2 linked regions of the Caenorhabditis elegans genome follow. The protein of the gene in region 1 interacts with the protein of each later gene in a pairwise test. Each region holds a gene or a part of one and is shown on either strand. Other genes may lie near its edges.

Region 1 (6,659 bases):
ATGAGCGTCAAAGGGATGAGCCATCGTTAGGGATTGAGCGTTCAAGTGAATGAGCACGCTAGTAAATGAGGGTTTGCCCTATCATAATGACTGCCCATTGTTGACACATATTTTTTAAAATCAAAACTGAAGGCTAGATGAAGGGGAAATATCAGGCAACACAACTTTCTTCATTTTCAGATGGGAATCTGGAGACGAACAAGCTGTTGCAAAGGGAGCTTACCTTCCTTTCGGACTTGGACCCCGAATTTGCATTGGAATGCGTTTGGCCTATATGGAAGAAAAGATGCTTCTGGCACAAATTCTGAAGAAATATTCTCTGGAAACAACTTTTGAAACCCATATTCCATTGAAACTGGTTGGAATCGCCACAACTGCGCCAACAAATGTTCACCTAAAATTGAAGCCCAGACATTCCGATTAACTTGGCTTTATCATTTCTTTTTGCCAATTCTTCCCCCCATTTTGTGTCTTGTTCTTGACACAGTTTGTGTTCTGTTTGATAAAAATGTGATGAATTGAGAAGTTTGTTCTGATAATCAACATTTCTGCAACATAGCTACTGCGACTGATCGAAGAAAGTTATATTTTGTTGGCAAAGTAGAATATTTTTTCCACTAATGAGTGAGGCTAAAGTGGTTTATTTTGAAAAAAAACTTCTTAAACTTTACTTCAGTAAACAAAATTTGTAATAAACCAATCATATTGGCCGGGAAAATAGTTTCAAGGCACATTATAGAAGGGCTGATCAAAATCAGATCTAAATATCTTAAAACTCCTCATCTTCAAATTGGCGTAGCATGAAAACTATGCGTCTAGAAAACAAAGAATCAACTAACAAAATGATCAAAAATACTTTTTCTTCATTTTCCATTACTTTTCATGTTAGTCTATCAATTATTCGCTGAGTTACACGGGAGGAAAGCAATTTAACCAAAATTTGCCAAAAAAATTCGAACCTTCTTTGCAAGAAGAGTCACACTACAACACCCATTTGGTTTCAATATAAAAACCTGTAAATTTGTAATTCATAAATACTTATTTGAAATTTTCATGTTATAACTTTTTTGATATCTTAGTTTTCAGCTAAGTTACAGACCGTTTTTCAAAAAAAATCATTTTCAACCATAAAACTCTTTATATCCAACGTATCGACTTGAAATTTTGAAAAACGATCACTTTTTTGAGGTCTCTACAATGTCCTAAAAAATCTTCCGAAAAGCCCTGCTAATCTCCAAAATCGTCTTTCGCTCTGAAAAACTAAATCGGACTTTTGCTTTCCCAAAAATTGACAAAAGAAAAGAAGGCGGGGTTTACGTCACGTGTTTCACGGTGTGTGGCGGAACCCGAAAAACTGTCGGCCGCTAAATTGTTTCACTTTGTTTGGTTTATATATGAATAATGCGAATAATAGTGAATTTTTTCTTTTTCTGAAAGAAACAGGGTATCTCAAGACTTTAACTAATCTTCAGAACGAAATCATATATCAGAGCAACCTGTTCAAAAACTGCAATCTTTAAATGTTCAATGTTTTCAAAATAGTTGGTCCGACCTTGAACTAGGTGTTCGGTCCATGTCTAAACACAAGTACTAGAAGATTAATGGGTAGACAGACCATCGGTAGACAACCTTCTCTTCCGTCCTTGAGAGCTCCTCTTTTCTCTTTTTTTCTCTAATTGTTCACACTCGCTCGTTTCAGGTAAAATTTGTGTCTAGATCGTTATCTCTTTTCGTTTTCTTTGATTTCTCGGCACCCAAATTGTGGACAGAGTGTGATTAATTCTGTAGACGCAGGAGGAGAAGCGTGTCTTTTTATTGGTATACCGTGATTAGAGAGACGGAGAGCTGGCGATAGAAAAAGAGAAAAAAGTTTTCAAAGTGGGTGGAGCGTCTTATATAAATACAGACAGTTGGTTTTATTGAACGGCTCTTCCATTTTTTTTTTCGTTTTCTGCTTCTACAAACACAATGAGCCTAGGGTTTGTGCTCGCCGTAACTTTTTCAATATTTCTTGGAATACTTACATACTACCTCTGGATATGGACATATTGGATGAGAAAAGGAGTTAAAGGACCACGTGGTCGACCATTTGTAGGAGTTTTGGATGTGCTCTTGGAGCATGAAACACCTGGATTAATCAAATTAGGAGAGTGGACAAAGGTTGGTGCAAGAGAGTTCACATGGTGAATAAGCTTTTTTGGAAAAAAAACTTTAAAAGCTGAATCAGGGAAAACGTGGTAAATGTTTTTAAATGAGGAGAAGCTCTAATGGGGAACATTTTAAAAATTATTCCAATGCTATTAAAATGATTGAATACTATAAAGTAAACATTTTCAAAATAAGTTTAAATGTTTTATCTACAATCAAAACTTGGCAATTCCTCAATCTTCAATTATTATAGTTTGGGAAACTGAACAAAAAATGTTTTCTCCACGAGGTTCACATTTTAACTATTTGAAAAATTTGGGCAAACTGGCTAGAAGTTTTGAAAAATCTGAATCACTTTTTTTGAAAGTATTTTTTAAAGATAAATTTATGTTTTTGAACAGTTTTGAGTTTATTTTAGAAAAGCCGAATATTTAGCGCATTTCTGTTTAGACCAGTCAAATTGTGAAAATTATTCTAGTAGGCAATATTAAAAAAAACATGTGAAATTCCTCTAATTGTTCCCAAAATTTGCAATTTTAATTATTAATTTTTCATCCTACTTCCAAAATCATTTTTCTCAATAGAATCACAGTTTTTGTGAGTTATTGCCAGATAACTTGACATAAAAACTCGTTCTACTTATCGGTTTCAACTTACTCTTGTCAAATTTCTTCCTAGTAGATAAAAAGTCACATGTACAATTGGTAAAGTTTTGTTTCATGGCCACTTCCAGTGCAGGACAAAAAAATTTCCTAAGATTTACTGCACTTTTGCGAAAAGTGACTGCCCTTGACATGTTTATTCACTGAACAGAAGTTCCTTCTAAACGCATCACTGTCAAAAGTTTTTGCTTTTCACGTATAAATGATGGATTTTAGTAGGTAGGGCAAAGGTACTTGGAGTTTAAATTTGCAGAGGGGTAAACAAAAATAGTAAATTATTTTTAAGAACATCATGAGTATTGGGTAAACAGTGTGTAGTCCTCGTCCACTTTGTACGGAAAGGGCAAATTTTGTGTGGGTTATATGTAGTTGAAAGAAATGGAAAATTAGATTTTTCGAAAATTTAAAGACCTATGTAGTTGGAAAATAACTTCTATCTACAATCCTAACATTTTACAGAAATATGGCAAAGTGTATGGATACACAGATGGCACTCAGCGAACATTAGTAGTTGCTGACCCTGCAATGGTCCATGAAATATTTGTGAAACAATTTGATAATTTCTACGGCAGGAAGTTGAATCCAATTCAAGGAAATCCGGAAAAAGAACAACGAGTTCACTTGTTGGCTGCTCAAGGATACAGATGGAAGAGGTTGAGGACTATTTCATCACAAAGTTTTTCGAATGCAAGTTTGAAGAAAATGAAGAGAACTGTAGAGGATAGTGCTCTAGAGTTGTTGAGACATATTGAAAAGCAGACAGCTGGAGGAGAACAAATTGATATGTTAAGGTTAGTTTTTAATTTTATAGAAAAAATTTAAGCTTTAAAAAAGGATACGAAGCAAGCTTGAGCCTATGTATATGAAAAATATCATGATACCTTCAAGGCAGCCTATAAACCCGTGAAATTTTTTTTTGTTTCACTGTATTTGCAAATCTGATTTTTCTAGGTCTTTGGGTTTTTGACAGTTTTGCTTTAAAATGATAACTTCATATTCCCTAACATTTCCAGTATTTGCAAATATTATCGAAATTTCTATTTTTTCTAATTTCTATTTTTTCTAATCTTCCAAAAAACCTTTTAAGCTCTATATTCTGAAATCAGTTTCCAGATTCTACCAAGAATACACCATGGACGTCATTGGTAGATTTGCGATGGGTCAGACGGATTCTATGATGTTCAAGAACCCAATTGTCAATGTTGTCAGAGAAGTTCGTTTTTTTTTTGAATTTATTCATCTATTTCATTTCATACCATTAGCTAAAAACTTTCAGATTTTTTGTGGCAGTCGAAAAAACTTGATGTTAATCTGCCAAGTCTTCCCACCAATTGGTCAATTCATTCGTGACCTAACATTCAAATTCCCCAGAATTCCCGCTTTCAAACTCTACAGTATCATGCAAGATGTAGTAGCTGCTCGAATTGCTCAAAGAGAACGAGAGAAGGGGGCGGAGTCTGGAGAGCCTCAAGATTTTATCGATTTATTCCTGGATGCCAGATCAGATGATGTAGATTTCAGTGCGGAAGCGAGAGAAGATTTTTCAAAAAGGAACTTGAAAATTACAAAGGAATTGAGTGCCGATGAAGTAGTGGGACAATGTTTTCTATTTTTAATTGGTGGATTTGATACAACTGCATTATCACTATCATATGTTACTTACCTATTAGCTGTTAATCCAAAAATTCAAGAAAAAGTAATTGAAGAAATTGCTCGTGAATTCGGAACTTCAGAAGTAGAATTTGAGAAGCTTGGGAGGCTGAAATATATGGATTGTGTGATCAAGGAAGCTCTCCGTCTGTATCCATTAGCTTCTATGTGAGTTTTTTGATGAACTATGTGTAAAATGTTGCACCAAATTCTATTGCATTTTAGTTTCCATGACAAAAACCTCATGTGAAAATTTTTGCAGAAATTATTTATTAAACTACCATAGACCGTGATTAGCGATAAGAAAAATGTTGTCTATGTCTGCAAAACTAGGTAGATTTGAGAGAAAAAATGTCTATTTGTTGCACTTGCATGCAAAATACTGTGTAGGTACAAAAAAAGATTATTCAATGTCTTGTTGGGCAAAATTGCAAATTAAAATATGAAAAAATATATATATCCGGAAATATCTGGAAATTGGGAATTTGATAATTTCAGCAATCTTGGCAATTGACAGAAAATTTATCTTTGACGTCTTGAAAATAGAAAAGAGCCAAGTACTGTTTTTCTGATATCTGAAACATTCCTAAAAGTTTGTTATAAAGTTACCAAAAAACACCTTAATCAATGACCCTTATATGAAAATAATTCAACATTTTCAGTTCAAATTCCCGAAAGTGTATGAAAACAACAACTGTGAATGGTGTAAAGATTGAAGCTGGTGTATACGTTCAAATGGACACTTGGTCTCTTCATTATGATCCAGAATTATGGGGAGAAGATGTCAAAGAATTCAAGCCAGAACGATGGTCCACCGACGAGCCATTAGAGCACAAAGGAGCATATCTTCCATTTGGACTTGGACCACGTCAGTGTATTGGAATGAGGCTGGCTATTATGGAGCAGAAGATTCTACTGACTCATTTATTAAAAAATTATACATTTGAGACAGGAAATAAGACTAGAATTCCTTTGAAACTGGTGGGAAGTGCTACTACATCGCCTGAAGATGTTTTCGTGCACTTGAGACCGAGAATTTGGTAAATTTCAGTATTATTGTCTATTTACTTTAATTTTGGAACCCGTTCTATCAATTTCTCAGATATTACAAGATCAGACTAATTGTAAAAATATTTTAGTTAAATTTTTTATTTCTATTTTGTAAAATATTTTCTTTGATTTTTAAAACTTGGGTGTTTGATGGTAACTTTTCATTTCATTTTTTCATTGTTATTCGTTTTTTTTTGTTCAATGATTGTTTCCTTGTTCACACATTTTTCACCGGTTGACTCCATCCACTTTTTATGTGTTTGTTTTTTCCCCGATCTGCACCAATTTATTATAGGCCTACCTCGCTTTGTTTTCATTTGATTTGATGATAGAAAATAATGAAAAACATGGTTGTAAAAAATTATTTTTTGAAGTTAATTTTGGTTCTATTTTTAACGTTGATAAATGTTAAAATTATATATGAAAGTTTATTATGGGGATTTTAGAAGTTTACAAGAAAAATCTTAGTGAAAGCAATTTACAGTGAAAACAACATTTTTGGATTTATTGTATTTTGATATGTGTTACTGAAAACATTAAAACATAAAATAAATTTCAAGATTTTTGTACGATTTGATATTTGATCTGCGCTATGTTTAAACATGCCGAAAAAAAATTCTAAAACTAATTCAGATACAAGTTTTCTGAATCCAAAGTATTCCAACACAGTCCATTCCCAATTCTCTCTGGGTTTTATTATTTTAACGTTTCCGAGAAACTTTTCAAAAAAATCACGAAATATGCATTCATGTGTTGCCCTTGGTTTCCAGAAACTACTTCACATTGTCGTTAAGAAAATTCTAAATTATATAGAAAAGGGGAACACATATGCGTGCACAAAATCTAAATACAAAAACTCCTATTTTTGTCAAGTTTAATTGAAGTTTTCAGCGTCACAGAATTTCTTTAAATAGTGAGAAGAATGAGTAAGACAACAGTAAGTTTCCGAGTTTAACAGTATTAAGGATAAAAATGAACAAAATTTTAGTTTCAATATAAATGGATTTCTTATAGGAACTAGGAATTCTTGAGCATATTAAATTAAAACTATAAAAAGCACTCTTACCGTGCTAATTTTTTTTTTCCTCGAAAGTTCGCTGTTCAGATTTTAGAATTTCTGAAATTAATATTTGCCAATTGTTTAATTAG
Region 2 (4,169 bases), on another chromosome or scaffold:
CCTGCTCTTTCTGCATAGAACTATCTCAATTACCAGTGTACCAATTACCACTCCTTATATTATCGGCTGTAAAAACCCCAATTTTTTGGTTGTTAGCTGGCGCCGCCACCTGGCGTTGCAAATGAAACCTACCCGTCCAAATAAGTAGTTTTCAAGTATGTCACTAACCAAAATTTTGCTATATCTGTAAAGCCAATTTAACTAGAAATAAACCTATGAAAGTGTCATGTACCGGAGATTTAATCCAGGACTCCACCTTTTCTTATTCCTCAATGAATATGAACATTAAATTCTAGTTTTCATCTTTGTTCATATCTATAATAAATGAAATAAATTTTGAATTGAACCTTAGCAAGTGCCTAAGACGTAGTAGTTATCTTGGTTAAGGAAGAACAACCTGCAATAACAAGATGTCGCTAAAAGAAAACGTTCGTTTCAGTTTTCTTTTCTCATTCGAACTTTGTTCAATTGCACTAATTTTTATACATTTGGATGTCAATCGGAATCCTCCCCTCTTAATATTTCTTCGACGTGATTATCTGCGTTAATTTCTCATATTGAAGTTGGTGTTACAACTTTATTATGTGTATTCAAAAGCTTGGGGGTGTTTCGAATGTCGAGATTTGAAAGGGGGAAAAGCCGTAACAAAACGGAACATTGAATTGTATGGGTAGAGACGGGAAGTTTTGATGAGTGGGCTCAGCACAGAAATTTGAATAACTTCTGCATTTGGTTGATGGGAAAAGGGGAGTGATTGATGAATTTATAGAAAAAAATGGAAAGAAAAACGATGGTTTAACTAGTCAATGGTAATAAATAAATCATATGACAAATAGTATTATTTATCATTTTCAAGATCGAGGTGAGGGGTGTGTGGCGGTAACGTGTCGGTGTGAAGGAGTTAGTTGCCTCCCTCTGTCTCGTTGGCATCAGTGTCATCGGTGGCAGCGTCCGAGGTCCAGAGAGTCAAGTTGTCACGGAGAAGCTGCATGATGAGGGTAGAGTCCTTGTATGAGTCCTCGTTGAGGGTGTCGAGCTCAGCGATGGCGTCATCGAAAGCCTGAAAGATTAAAGGTAATCAATAGCTTTGAAGTTACGATGCTATGTCAAAAACTTAACGAGCACCTGCTTGGAAAGCTGGCATGCTCTATCCGGGCTTGCTGCTACTTCATAAAAAAACACCGAATAATTGAGTGCAAGACCAAGGCGAACACAGTTCGTTGGTGACAGATCTTTATTTGCAATTTCAAGTGCCTCCGCGTAAGCCGTTTGTCCAATGTTGGCTACTGCTAAAATAAAATAAAAACATTAACACACCTGCTTGGCAAGCTGGCAAGCCTTGTCCGGGGCGTTCAAGATCTCATAGAAGAAGACAGAGAAGTTGAGAGCAAGTCCCAGGCGGATTGGGTGAGTTGGTTGCATCTTATCCTTGGCAATGTCGAACGCCTCTTGGTAGCTTTGCTGCGACTTCTCGACAACCGCTGCAAAGAAGGAATATTCATTTCTGGTCTTCTTTGAAACGAGTATGACTATGAGAGGCAGAACTCCCTAGAGGAGAACCCCCAATGAGCTGCCCTAGAGTTTATTTTCAAAAACTACGCATCGATGTGGAATTGGGTCGCGCCTGAACTCCCGTTCTCTGTCTTCCCTATGATATCTTTCCACACTTCACACAAGGATGCATAGCTTACGAATGAGGGTTAGAAACGAGTGCACGGTTATGTCCCAATTACAGTCATCATTTTCAATCACTTACAGTTTCTGTCGTCTCCGGAGGCGACCTCAGCGAGGTAACGGTAGTAGTCTCCCTTCATCTTGAGGTAGAAGACCTTGGACTCGGCGGCTCCAGCCTTTGGAATGAGGAACTTGTCGAGCAAGTTGAGAACGTCTTGGCAGATGTCGCGGAGCTCCTTCTCAACCTTCTCACGGTATTCCTTGGCCATTTGTTGCTTCTTCTCAGATCCTTCGGTCTTCTGCTCAATTGAAGAGATGACTCTCCATGAAGAACGACGGGCTCCGACGACGTTCTTGTAGGCAACGGAGAGAAGATTGCGCTCCTCGTTGGAGAGCTCAGCTCCCAGCTCGGTGACCTTCTTCATGGATGCGGCCATGTCGTCGTAACGCTCAGCCTGAAATTAAAGTTTTAGTATTCAAGAACATCCTGAGACATCTACATACCTGCTCGGCAAGCTTGGCGCGGTTCACGAGCTCTTCCTTTCCGTCAGACATAGTTGATTTAGTTGCTTGAAGTGGATGAGTCACTGAAAAACGAGAATATAAAGAGTTTGATACAAAAAGGTCAAATGAGAAAGAGAAGAAAGAGGGCGGTAAACAAATGAAGATTGTTTGAAGAAAGCAAAGAATGGCTCCTTTCCGTATTCTTATATGATATGAAACTGATGGGACATTTTCATCTCTTCTAACACGAGGCGTATGAGCCCTTGTAGAAGTATACACAATGCATCAAGAAGAAACGAGAAGGACGTTGTCGAGCGAGTAATGTTGAACAGAGTGAGCGGCACCCCTCCCAGCCCTCCCTCTCGTTTTCTGTGCGTCTCTCCCTATCTGCCGAAAGGAGCGCGCACCATCATTTTAGGGTCTGTAAAAACCATTCAAACTGCGAATTTCAGAATAAAAATTATATATTCTGAGAGGGGAAAGTCTGTTTCATCAGCTAAAGTGAAGAAAATATAAGTTTTGATATCTGTGTTTAAAAAGAGCCGTTTGGCGCGCTACAAACACACAATTGCGGAGTGATTCGAGGGGGCTGCCAACAGAAAACCGCCGCCTCCTACGACTCATAAAGGGTCTCTTTCGCAATGTGTCAACAAGAGCGCGCACCACATTTCTTCTTTGAAGGAAGTCAACATAATTTCAGATATATTAGATGAAAATTAGATATTCGGGTTCGTCTTTTTCCGGGCTTTTAGTTGACTAGAAACTCGGCCTAAAATCTTGAACTTTGAATATTTTTGTGCAGAAAATAGGACGAAAACATCGGACATGCGGAGGCTTCTAGGGGGCTGCCTTTTGCCCACCCACCAGGCGCTCGGTCGTCATTTGAAGTCGCTCTGTTATTCAAATAGAAAGAGCGCTCACCATAACTCTTTGGGCCATAATTTACCTTCAAATTATCTTGAGTAATGTATGGTCTGAAAATTTGAAAATGTGACTACAGAAGCTTGCCGTTTTCAAAGTTAAATGATGATTCTTGCATGTTCCTGGATGTTTCTGGAAACTTGGAGCAAATTCAAACAATGCGGCAGCGCTTTGGGGGCTACTTTGACGACCGCTGCAGACTTGTTCTAAATCAATGACCAGCGGCGGTGGGCTCGGAGGCTCGGAGCTGATGCGGTTGGCTCTCGCTTCACAACAGCCTAGGATCGAATATGCAGGGCGCGTAAACATGCAGGCAAAACAGGCTGATAATCGTGTTACTTAACTTGAAAGTGCCTGGTATTTGCCTTAAATTACAAAGGAGATTCAGAAAAATAATTAGCATGATAAATTTACAATTCTAAACTACATATAAGGCCAGGTTCTATTCATTCTTTTCATTAATTCATATGTAGAATTTTACAAAAATGTTTATTACAATAGTATCTGTAATTTTTCCTGATGTTTCTGAAACTGTAACTGGTATTTTGTACAAACATCCATATCAATTAGAATTGGTGTCGCGGAACACATCCGACTGTTGTTTGATCTTCATTTTTGTTGTCTTCACTTCCGATTTTCGAGGAAGTACATGTACATCTTCATTCTTCCTATCCCGAAACCTTTCAAACCCCATTCTATCAAAACAGAATTAGGAACAACAGATGCGTGGTGTGGTGCGCAACTATACAGAGACCTTCAACGCAATTTACGTCTTATCTATTCCACATCTTCTTTCACCGTGCAGTGAGGTATACTCTTACTCATCAATGAGAACTGTTGTCTTACGGGAAAGATTCAAAAACCAGTGAACCCACCTTCAATTTGAAAAATACGTTTCTAAATATATTTATTCGCATTTCTCAGACTGCCCCAATTACCAAAATGGGCTTTTCATTTTTGGCCATTTCAGGATTAGCGGCCGACGGAGCAGTGAAGTCGTGGGAACCTATTAGATGTTTGGTCAAGGTTGTGCCCAGACTCCAAATTGTTTTGAACAAGGCACCACCTGC

What was found.
Region 2: the proteins of cyp-13A2 (region 1) and ftt-2 interact in a two-hybrid assay, tested with the Caenorhabditis elegans proteins (one large-scale study listed by BioGRID).

The regions. Positions count from the first base shown.
Region 1 is NC_003280.10:9,782,663-9,789,321, reverse strand, and holds cyp-13A2 (Putative cytochrome P450 CYP13A2), read left to right. Parts: upstream 1-1,692; 5' UTR 1,693-1,968; coding exon 1,969-2,160; intron 2,161-3,269; coding exon 3,270-3,601; intron 3,602-3,923; coding exon 3,924-4,023; intron 4,024-4,086; coding exon 4,087-4,628; intron 4,629-5,122; coding exon 5,123-5,504; 3' UTR 5,505-5,938; downstream 5,939-6,659. Other genes in the region: cyp-13A3 (Putative cytochrome P450 CYP13A3), read left to right, coding at 181-424. UniProt on the Caenorhabditis elegans protein: Cytochromes P450 are a group of heme-thiolate monooxygenases. They oxidize a variety of structurally unrelated compounds, including steroids, fatty acids, and xenobiotics.
Region 2 is NC_003284.9:11,603,152-11,607,320, forward strand, and holds ftt-2 (14-3-3 domain-containing protein), read right to left. Parts: upstream 2,269-4,169; 5' UTR 2,230-2,268; coding exon 2,179-2,229; intron 2,130-2,178; coding exon 1,757-2,129; intron 1,482-1,756; coding exon of another isoform or gene 1,318-1,481; intron 1,290-1,317; coding exon 1,126-1,289; intron 1,061-1,125; coding exon 902-1,060; 3' UTR 557-901; downstream 1-556. UniProt on the Caenorhabditis elegans protein: Required for extension of lifespan by sir-2.1. Required to modulate lifespan, in concert with hcf-1, acting redundantly with 14-3-3-like protein par-5. Promotes nuclear export of yap-1.